3 linked regions of the Xenopus tropicalis genome follow. The protein of the gene in region 2 interacts with the protein of the main gene of each other region in a pairwise test. Links are inferred from orthologs where the notes say so. Each region holds a gene or a part of one and is shown on either strand. Other genes may lie near its edges.

What was found.
Region 1: the proteins of cdc42 (region 2) and myo9a interact in a two-hybrid assay, tested with the Homo sapiens proteins (3 studies listed by BioGRID and IntAct). The link is inferred for Xenopus tropicalis from reciprocal best matches to the Homo sapiens genes CDC42 and MYO9A.
Region 3: the proteins of cdc42 (region 2) and pak3 interact in a two-hybrid assay, tested with the Homo sapiens proteins (2 studies listed by BioGRID and IntAct). The link is inferred for Xenopus tropicalis from reciprocal best matches to the Homo sapiens genes CDC42 and PAK3.

The regions. Positions count from the first base shown.
Region 1 is NC_030679.2:91,972,045-91,975,698, forward strand, and holds part of myo9a (unconventional myosin-IXa), read right to left. Parts: intron 2,578-3,654; coding exon 2,530-2,577; intron 2,233-2,529; coding exon 2,121-2,232; exon of another isoform or gene 2,083-2,120; intron 1,734-2,082; coding exon 1,672-1,733; intron 62-1,671; coding exon 1-61. UniProt on the Homo sapiens protein: Myosins are actin-based motor molecules with ATPase activity. Unconventional myosins serve in intracellular movements. Regulates Rho by stimulating it's GTPase activity in neurons.
Region 2 is NC_030683.2:94,443,550-94,447,652, forward strand, and holds the start of cdc42 (cell division control protein 42 homolog), read right to left. Parts: upstream 2,838-4,103; 5' UTR 2,694-2,837; intron 2,685-2,693; exon of another isoform or gene 2,594-2,684; intron 1-2,593. UniProt on the Homo sapiens protein: Plasma membrane-associated small GTPase which cycles between an active GTP-bound and an inactive GDP-bound state. In active state binds to a variety of effector proteins to regulate cellular responses. Involved in epithelial cell polarization processes.
Region 3 is NC_030684.2:51,559,533-51,563,186, reverse strand, and holds part of pak3 (serine/threonine-protein kinase PAK 3), read right to left. Parts: intron 696-3,654; coding exon 647-695; intron 330-646; coding exon 217-329; intron 1-216. UniProt on the Homo sapiens protein: Serine/threonine protein kinase that plays a role in a variety of different signaling pathways including cytoskeleton regulation, cell migration, or cell cycle regulation.

The sequences.
Region 1 (3,654 bases), on a different chromosome or scaffold from region 2:
CCTCATTAGTAAGGCGCGACAAGTCCACTCCAAATTGCCGAGTTGAAAGCTCAGAGTCATTCTGGGTAAGGACAGAAGAACAAAACCGACATTAAAAATGAAATAGAAAATGCTTAAAAGGAAGGGAAAGAAAAAAGAATAAAGTGAATAGCAAAACCAATGAGAAATATAGTAAATGAACAAAGATAAAACTAGAAGGCACAAATTTTAGAATAAATTCAGTAGGCACCCTACATAACCCTTGCTGAGATCAACCACTTAAATACTATGACACACTGGGCAAATGATTAAAGGCTAACCCAGAACTGGGTCTTCGTATGTATTTTGTCTCTGCATCTTCTTTTTGTCTCTGCAAATGTCAGGAGATTTCCGCTGATTATAATGATTTTTGCTAATGAGAAAAGTCTCAGACAAAGAGCACAGGCATTTTGAGTATTATTGACTGAAACCATTATTCACAACTTTTTGATGCAGTGTTAAACAGGCAGATAGGCCATAGATTAATATGCCCACACACATGCACTCTATACTTCCTCTGTGCACTGATTTGTTGGTTCCACCTTCTTATATACAAAGATGAAAAGTGCAATGTGCAGAATGCTCTGGAGCCTTAAAGGGGCACAGGTACAGGGCTTTCTTAGTGGTTTAAGACACTGCACTTGCTGGAAAACCCACACTGATGTTCATGCAATGTGCCTTTATTGGCAAAATGGCTGCAACACTTGCACCAGGATTGACAAATAAGGGTTTGTTTACTAAAATATTGTTTAGTTGCTACTAGCAAACTATCAGCAATTATCTGTAGCAGTTGATTACAAGTGAGATAATCAAAGCAAAAATCTGCCAAGGATAGCTGCACTGGGGCAATTTATTAGCTAAGAGATAAGGTAGCTTCAGGTGCATAATTTGCAAGGCTTGCAATTAAACTGTTACACTGTTGGTAAAAAATATTGTAAATTGTACCTATGAACAAATGCACACTGAACCACGTTAGTAAATAAACTTTTATATGGTAAAGTGATATAGAAATATGGAGTCATAAAGTTCCATCCTTATGCAACTAACTGTTCCCCAGTAAAGCAGCTTATTCTTTCATCCAGCACCAGTGGATGCCAGACTGCTGCCTACATATCTCATAAGCTCACTGCTTGCTGCCCAACAACCACTGCTGCAAAATGGAGACAGCAATCCATTAGATAAAGATGGCATTTTCTGGCTAACTGCATCAATTTAACACAGAAGTGAAAAGCTTGGGCCTCTGTAATGCATGTTCATACAGGTATAATAATGATAATATTATTTTATTGTTCTGGTGCAATTAATCCAGGAGATGATAATATGGCTTAACACTTTGCTATTCCTGGAAATATAACTGGAATACATTTAAAGTAACTAACATACCCTTAATGTGAGCTAAGATATTCTCTTAGAGTAATATAGACCAATATAAAACCAGCAAAGTGCTGAGACTGAAGAAACTGAAACTTTATATTGATTAACAGACATGATACCCAACATCAGAGGACAAAGCTAATAGAAAGCACTACTTAGCAGGTTCCATTACAGTCTCCATGATAGGTATAAAGTAACATGAGAAGCATGCAGGATGAGAGGGCAGCGCTTACATACAAAAATATAAAACTGACAACAGATATCCACTCTATTTCTCACCTTTTTATTGCACGCTACATTGATCAGGGAACAGCATTTCTTGTGACAGGCGTATCGGCACACTGAAATACAGCATTGTTTGATGAGAAGTTGCACAAAATCACAACTGTGTGTATGTGAACAATTTGTGACAGGTAGTTCAACACTAGCAGGTACAGTAGCAAGCTCTCAAGAGACAACACAACCATATTGTACTGAGTGACTCAATATAAATATAGACATACATGTTGGAGCATGACATTTTGACTAAAAAAGTTAGTATCTGCACTTAATAATCCACTGCAACCAATTAGCAACTTGCTTTGGTTATAGAACTACAAGTTGCTATATATGTTACTCTATGTTAGTCAATAAGCTGTTATATGGGTAGAATTCACACACTGAACCCAATATTTTGTAGATATGCACTACCACAAAATGAACTGCTTCTATGTCAAGGTCAGTCATACATTTGCAGACAGCAGCTCGATCCATGATCCAGATGAGTGAGGAGCAGTACTCGCAGTATGTTGGAATGTTGTACTGGGTGATTTTAAATATGTGACCATTATGTTCTTCTACCTGTAAAAGGCAAAGGATAGCAGAGAAAGCTTAGGAGACAGAGCAAAATTGCAGGAAAAAGAAGCAGTCAAGGAAGATAAGGATTCAGCTGGACTGTGCAGGTACAGGAACAGAGGAAATGAGTGAAGGTTTGTGCATGAAGAGGCAAAGAAGTGTGCTAGAAGTCTTTATAGAGAAGGGGGGAGCAAAGTGATAGGGTTTTTATGTGTTTTCTTGTTTGTCACAAGAATGGGAAACATGCTGTTAGGGTGTGGGCAGAGTGGTAGATAAAGAGATTACACTGGCAGGTAAACTTACAATGTCAGAGTCCTTTTTCCTCCTCTTTTTACGTTCTGTCTTTTGGATCTTGAAATAAGAAACAAAATAATGTAAGCAAATTATATCAGGTACTGCGATTCTCCTATTGTTGGGTCTCACTGCCATAATCCCTACAAGATGCTCCAGGTTTTTTAGTATTTCTCACTAAAGGCAGATTCCCAAATGCTAATCACCTCCCATTTCCACTGATCTAATGGTCCATCAAATGAAAAAACCTTGCTTGCCAGGCAGGCCCAGACTGGCAATCTGTAGATTCTAGCAAATACCAAAGGGGCACAAGTGAGATGCCATAGACAGTCACTCTTTAGTGGGCTGATCCGAGCTGATTGGGCCTCTATGTACTTAGATTGCCAAGGCCATTTCTGAGCCCCAGTCCTGGCCTGCTGCCAGGGATGGTGCAACATTTCCAGGGTAGTTTCCGTATCTGGCAGAGGAAAAAGGGCAATGCTTATCACTACATGTGTCTATTATAATGTATAGGCTAAGAGCCCACTGCAGTATTTAATACTCTATAGTTTCCTTGTGGCATACTGCATATGGGATATATGTATAACTTTATTTATAAAGCGCCACAAGGGTATGCAGCGCTGTACAATCTTACAGAATACAAAATTACACACAGGGAGGACAAGTGATATAATAAATAAATACAGTAAATATATATATATATATATATATATATAAGTGCCATGTGGTATGAGGCACAGTGGGAAGGAGGTCCCTGCCCCGTAGAGCTTACAATCTAAGTTTAATATCACCTGCATGTACTTTCCATCTAGTATTTGGTGGTGATCCTGGTCTCTGGATGCCTGACCAGACATCATCATATAACTCAGCACAAATAAGAATGGCACTCAAGTCAGTGAGTCTGTGGCGTAATGAAAGTGTGTAAATCCCTTAAATAAAGTTGTTCCTGCTGCTGCTAATAAGACATGGTGGAACTGCCTAATGTCCACTGAGCCTAACAGGTTTTTTTTTTTCATTTGTAGCACTACAGTATTTGGGTGTGAGGCTGTCAACAGTTCTGAACATGCCACTTCACAATTCTAATTTTTTAAACCGTAAAATTATTGCTAAAACAGAGGCATTTAATGCTCCATAAAG
Region 2 (4,103 bases):
AAGGGGTTTGATTTTTTTTTACAGCAAGCTTCAATGAGTTTTACTTAGGAAATGCAGATACAGATTTCCCAGTTAAGTATGACTGATATATGCCCACCTTCTTATTTGTCATTATGAAAACAGCAGACATTTTGCATTCAATGGCACCAACTCAGCTTAAAATCTCCCTGAGTAAGTTCCACTGCCCTAGGAGAATTTGACAGAATGTCGTTTTGGCCCTGCTTTACCAGGATCCATTAGCAAAAAAAGAAGAATGTGATTAAAGTTTTTGATGGTAATGCAATATCAAACACCGTCTCAGGAAGTGACACACTTATTTTCTTCTAAATCACAGGTCCGCCCAATGAATAGCTTTGTTGAGACAAGCATACAAAATCCATCTATTATACTGGCAACCGAGAGTGCAGAGCAGTACAGAAGAACTTACACCTAAAGTTCTCTCAGGATGACGACTATGAGGTCAGAGTAAGCAAGGAAACTTCACCCATCAATTTGCTTTCCCCTCAGCTGAACCTACTTATACTCTTCCTTATCTCTTGCTAAATCAGCCACAGGGATTCCAAGCAGCAGTGAAGTAAATGTTAATGAGCCATTGAAATAAAGGCTCATTGATCCTGCTTTGTCTTGTGTGACAGTGGTTCTGATAGTGACAGGTATATCTGTATATCTAGTGTCCCTTCCATAAAGCAAGAATGGGTTTGTTATTTGCCACAAAGGAAACAGAAATAGTAACATGAATACCAGGAAACATTCCTTAGTGCAAGCATTAAAATTGGCAATATATCTTCCAGCTGTTAAGTTAAATGCTTCAACCCTCCCCGTTACCCAAAAACAAAACCCTACAGTAAGACTGCTGTCATGCCAAAAGCTAGTGAGATATACCCAATGCAGCTCCCCCAGGTGTGGCCCGATTAAGTTGCTTCAGATTCACAGTTGCAGTGGCAGGGCCAAAGAAATGGATCTTAGCAGCAGCAGGCACTGCCATCTTCACAATTTATTTATCTGCATGGAGATGTTCTATCACAAATGAAATCTCTGCCAAGTATGTGCTGCCTCTACTTTTGACTTAGGGGTTAATGGCAGATTGGGCACTTTCATAGCTGCAGGTCTTTAGATAATTTAGTTGGCTACTAACAGCCACTTTCTCCTTCTGACAAAGGGTATCACAATTCCTCAGTGAGGTCACCATAAGGGTAACATCACACCTTGTGCCTCATGTTCCAGCAGCAATGAAAGGCACCACACTGCAAGTCAGTACCCACATGGGGTTTATTTTGGCCTGAATGTGCAGTTGCATGTTTTCCAGCCAAAATTCAACCCATATTCCAACAGAGCGGATAGGCACAGCATTCACATAGAAAATATTGCAAAACCAGAAAGCATGAAAAAAAGAACTTTCTGGGGTTGCCAAACCGCATCTACCTGGGACCCAATGAGTGCCCACTATGAAGCTGTTTGGCGCACTATAAAAAGAGGAGGAGAACAAGATGATCACAAATCACTGTTTGGGGACCAATTCCCTAAGTGCTCACAGGGGAGCAAAACAGCAACTGTATTGCAGCCTGCCTGTAACAAACTCCATAACTTTTATAATCTCTATCAGTACTCTCTATGCCCACGCCTAACACCAATTTTGGATAAGGATGCTAATCAGGTATACAAATAGTTTTTTTTTATATGTTTTCTAACCCCCCCCACCCCCAAAAGGCTGTTAGAAAATGCCCAGTGTCTGCTCTCTACCTTCCTTTCAGTACCCTTGGAGACCTGGAAGCTACAGGCATGGGCAAAAATGCTGTAGGGGCCACTACAGAGCAAACATCAAAGGCCTTCCAGAATCCCAATAGAACTTGCAAAGTATATTGATTAGAGGAAGAATGAGCAGAACCCGTACAGCCAATGGGGATGGACATCACAAGTGGCCGGCCCTCCAGCAGTTATGATCGCGACGTTCCGGCATCCTCCACCAAACTACGGGTTATTTTAGCCGAGGAGCCAAAATCTACAAATTCTTTCCTGGTTTCTAAAAGGCCTTGATGCTGGCTGACAGCTTAGTGTACAGAACCAGCCTCTCCCTCCTACCCTCCCCCAGCAGCAGCCTCCTCCCTGCAGTATTTCCTCCCTGCTCCCCCCAAAAACCACCACCATCCGCCGATCTATCGGTAACACAGCTGATCTTAAAGCGCCCCCTCCCAAATTTGCTGTTTTAGGGTCCCGAGGGGCAAGTAACGAAGCGATCTTAACCTAAAGCCCCACTACAACTCCCAGCATCCCTGGCAGACTCACCGAATGCTTGAGCGTTCGGGCGGATAGACCCAAGTAAAAGAAAGCACAGCTAATGAGAATAAGCCTCACCTACCATGTCCAGTCCCCAAATTCCAGCGCACACAGCCAATACAGTCCCGGTTTACCCAAACATGTCAAACTCACGCAATTAACCCCACTGAGTTACCCTGCACAAGCAGCCCGCAACTGTACCCAGGGGCGCGACCCCCCATATACCAGATAGCCCGACAGGATGCGGTACCGGGCCGCTCCCCGTTCCTTGTTACAGAGGCCACACAGCAATTCCCTGCCCCTGCGCTCCCCTATATACCTCGCGTTGCGAACAGTTCCACTCCAGCCATACACTGCCCCCGAGTGAGGATAATGTTCCCCCCAAACAGCCAGCGCTCGGAAAGATTCCCCCCACTTACCCGCTCAGCCTCTCCCCTTCTCTCCACCGGGCGTTGGCAGCTACTCGCAGGGTTTCCTAGGCTTACAGGCAGGGGTCAGTATACGTAATGATGTCACGACGCTCTGGAGTGGTGACGTCATTGCACAATGCGGCGAAGAATTGCTGCAGGTTGACAAGGGAAGAATAAGCAGAACTGGTTTGTGGCCATCTTTATTGAGGGCTTTGGTCCTGCTGCTGTACCGAATACAAAGGTGATTTTACACAGCACCACAGAATTTTTTTGCGCACTGCTTCAAGAACATAGACTGGGGGAGCGGGTACTAATTCAAATCGTTCAAGGTTTTTTATTTGTCGTTCGCATTTTCAATCTAAAAATAAAAACCTGGGCGTGATTTGCCCGTATTGTGAAATGTCTGCCGCAAACTCATGATATCCGGTCAGGTGACTTCCGTATGAGCAAAGTAAAACACATTTGAAGTGACGATATTTAGGTGGGCTCAGATTTGGGGAAGTTTGGGTTAAATGGTGACAGTGACAGTCTTACAATACAGAAAGAAGTGGTGGTAGAGGGCTCCTTGCAGAGTGTTGGCCTGAAGCGAAAGACAGCGAGACTCAAGGTACAAAGGATTTACAGGACGTAAAAAACCGAGTCAGTGAGAATTGAGCTTGTCAGCAGTAGCTTGTGGGAGTTGTAGTTCTAGGACAGGTACTGAGCGCATATTCAGCTTTTATGTGGCGTACATGACTAGAAAACAAAAATATCAACCTCACCTAATAGGTACAATCATAGCTTTTATCTTTAGCCAGAAATTCAAGTTTGTATTAGCTCCAAGGTGGTTTTTATTGACGCATTGCAATGTAATATATAATTTTTTGAAATCAGTTCCTGTCTGGCCTTTGCTTTTCTTATCTGCTCATGCCATTGTCACATTGTATCAGTAGTCAGCTCTCCTCCAACCAAGACTTCACTTCCCAAATGCCTTGCAAGTTCTGTGATAAAGGGCTCTGGCACACGGTGAGATTAGTCGCCCGCGACAAATCTCCCTTGTCACGCAGGCGATTTCGGCAAATCGCGAAGTTGCCTCTCGAGGCATTTTCTAATCTCCCCGTGTGCCAGAGCCCTAAGGGTGAAGACACAGGAGCTACTAGTAGCAGCTACTTGTTGTGGCTACACAAGTAGAAAATGCTGATAATTTATTAATAACTGTCTCTATGTGTGTTTTAGCAGAGGCAATTGTCAGTATTGTCTATGGCAGGGTATTTTCTGGCGTTTATTAGCAATGTGTCTTCACCCTAAGGGCTCTGGCACACGGGGAGGTTAGTGAAATCTTTTTCGCCGGTGGGATGGCAATTTGGGGAGATTAGTCGCCCGCGAACAGGGAGATTTGTCGCGGGCGACTAATCTCCCCAAATTGCCATCCCACTGGCG
Region 3 (3,654 bases), on a different chromosome or scaffold from region 2:
ATAGATAGATAGATAGATAGATAGATAGATAGAGCAGGTTGAAGGCTATCCCATGATTCTTATTTCTCAGACTGAGCAATAAGATATAAAATTGGACACTGTATTACACTCATACTTCCCTTACATGTGTTAATTCAGTAACACCCAGACCTCCAAATGTTTTTCTTCCCCGCATAACAAAATAAACCAGCAATTTGATGACAAAGTTCAACTTACCTGTCTAAATAATTCACAATGTTGGGATTTTTATTTTCCCTCATGACTAAGATCTCGTTAATAATTAATTCTTTTTTCGGCTGTTGTTGCAGGTTCATTTGCTTAATCGCTACCTAAATTAGGAAAAGAAAAGGTCAGGCATGGGAATGAAAACATAACCATCTATAGATACAAAATGTTATGTGAAATTCCAGCAGTGCTTTTTAAAATCTTTGAAAGACAGTGAGCCTTAGAACAGAAATTATATGTGAGACACAAATTTCTGGCATGTCATGCCCCACTAATAGGCCAGGGAACAGAGGACTAAGATTGTCTTGGATACACTGGGAATTATTTAAGCTGTGCTAGTACAACAGCTTGCTGAGACACCAAACTATAAATGTAAAAATCCCTTACAGTATAACTGGTTACAAGCAGAAGTGCAACCTACCTCCTGTCCTGTAGCGATGTCTATTGCTGTGTACACTGTACCTGATGCCCTGGAATTAAATATAAAAAGAAACTAAAAATAAGAAACCAATGTTTGCATGCAAACACAAAAAAATGTCCCAGAGTACATATTGCTAGATACCCTATTCTGTTTCCTGTTCCCACTTATCATAGTGCTCTATTATACCGTACTTACCAAAGCAGTAATACCTACAGAGTATGCATGCACACTTTGTAGTTGTTAAGTTCTAAGCAAATATGTAATGAGTTCCCCCATTACTTATACCGTATGTATCTCCCAGGGCCCTAGTCCCACAGAGAAGTTCTAAGACATATGGTTCATATACAACACTGCTCCCTGCTGCTCCACTCACCCTGTCTTTGCTCATTTGTATGAATAAAACATGAAGTGATGTAAACCATAACCAGCTTACAAATCTACACAAAAGATGATTAAAACAATAAGTTCTATAAAACAAAATATCTAAATAAATTCATTTGAAAAACTGCATCCCTTAAAAGCCAATTTTTGGCCAGGGTCCCCTGTCACATAATAATGGACCAAATTCACATAATTGATATGGCTATCCTTGGTTGATATTGTTTATTTTTTTATGTTCAAGGCCTAAGCCTTTCTGCATACGCCTGCAAGTTGGTTTTATAACAGACAGAATACGTTTAAAATACATGTAAAATAGCTGCAGCTATTTGCTTTATCCCAGTAATCCGTCATTAAAGCAGATCTAAACTGAAAAAAGAAAATGAATGTAAATTTATACTGCTGGTTGTGAGTAATTTGTTTTTAGACTGCTAAAATCTGTACCAGGCTTTTGGTGCCATCTGCATAGCTCAGGGTTACCGACAGCTTTGAAAGTGTATTGCAGAGCTGAAAGCCTGGTATTAGCAATCTAAAACTGCTAAAATGTAAGAAACCACTCAAAATATGAGGTTACTGTAAACCTACAGTGCTCAGAGAAACACTTTTGAGTTAATTTACTTTCATTTCTGTAATGGGTTTAGACCCCCTATTATCTCTTGTTATATTTGCCTTGATTTAATATTATTCACCAACATTATTTATTCCTAAACTGAAAAATTAATTTGATTTAACAGTATTATTTTAAAGAATGTGTATAATGCAAAAGCCTAATCTGCCTGTAGCATACATTTTATTGTTCATTTTCCAGTCAATATAATTGATAGCCCAAAGAAATTAGATACAGTAGAATAAATGATGTCAATCTAACTTGTCTACAGAATGAGTCTTGCTGTGACCAATTTCCCTGCTGCCACAGCACAGCTGCATAAATCATTATTCAGATCCAGACACCTCAAATGAGATCATGCCATAAACTGCATACCTTCAAGTGGCCACTGTGGGGCTCTATAAGACTAGAAATGACATCAGATCAACAAAGATTTCCACTGCCTTGGAACATACTGTTCATGATAAAAGGTACAACAATAATCTCTTGAGATCTTATCATCATGGGGCTTACTATCTAGCACCAGTGCAGTTTACTGATTTTTTTTAGTGAAAATCCATGTATTTTCAAGTGCATAAAACACTGCTGTCTAAATTAGTCTGTGCTATGTAATGAAGGCCTATGGCTTCAGGGGAGGGCATCCTGTAGGATAAAAAGGTTGCTTTTTTTTTGTATGTCTGGCATTTTCTGGCATACTGTGCTTCTGTCTCTTTCAGACATGTTTTTCAGTAATACTTTCCCTTTAACAGGACCATATAGGACACTTTTGTAGTACAGGTATAGAATCTGTTATCTGGCTTGGAAGTTGAAGTTTTCCTGATAAGGTATCCTTCTGTAATTTGGACCTCCATACCTCTACTATAAATCACTGAAACAGTAAGTAAACCCAATAGGATTGTTTGCCCCAGCATGGATTCATGCTGCTCAACTGGGATCAAGTAAATAGGTACTGTTTTATTATTATTATACAGAAAAAAATAATATGTTTAAAACGTAGAATTATTTGCTTAAAATGGACTGTGGAAATGGCCTTCCCGTAATTTTGAGCTTCCTGGATACTGGTACTGGGTTTCCGGATAAGGGGTCTAATACTTGTATTGGTGTGTAGGAACCTGTCACAGCCTTTTAATTTCCCATGATATACATAATATAGGTATGGGATCCCTTATCTGGAAACCTATTATCAAGAAAGCGCTGAATTACGGAAAGGCCATCTTAGATAGGCTCCATTTTAATCAAATAATATTTGATCAAATCATCTATTTGATTAAATTGATCCCAGCTCAGATATAATTAATCCTTACTGCAGGCAAAACAATCATATTGGTTTTAATTATTGATTAAATGATTTCTTAGTAGACTAAAAGTATGAAATACACCTTATCTAGAAAACCCCAGGTCCCAAGCTTTCTGGATAACTGGTCCCATACCTGTACTTCTTCTGTGTACCATTGTAATACTTGACAAATAAATATGTATTAATTTTAATCCCTAAGTGGTGGCTACTTTGAGGCATACAGACAACACAAACAAAATAGCAGTGCAACAGGGAGTGAAACTAATCTCGTTTAGAACTTAAATAGATTATTTGACTTGCTCATACAGACGTAATAAGATATATTGCTTCCTGAGTAATTTTATTTTTTTTCCTTCTATCACTTTATCATGCAAGACCTAAAAAAAAAAAAACTTATGTTTGTGCAGAGCATTAAATGCTCACGATTTTGTGGGGGGGTTGCATTGCAATTGCATACTCTGCAATAAAACAGCCAAAATTATGATTGAAAAATCGGAATTTTGGCTCTTAAATTCACCAACAACTGCCTCCTCTGATAACTTGCGGGGGAACTGAAGCCTGATGCGAGTTTGTCAACACACCTTATTGCAGCAGTGCCCCTGAGCTTACCCGATCATCCTGTGTATATCAACCTTAACAATTTCAATCTCCCCCGCCTGTTAAACAATTGTCATTGATCTGGATAACAACTCTTGACTGCACATAATTCTCTGCTGTACAGAGAGG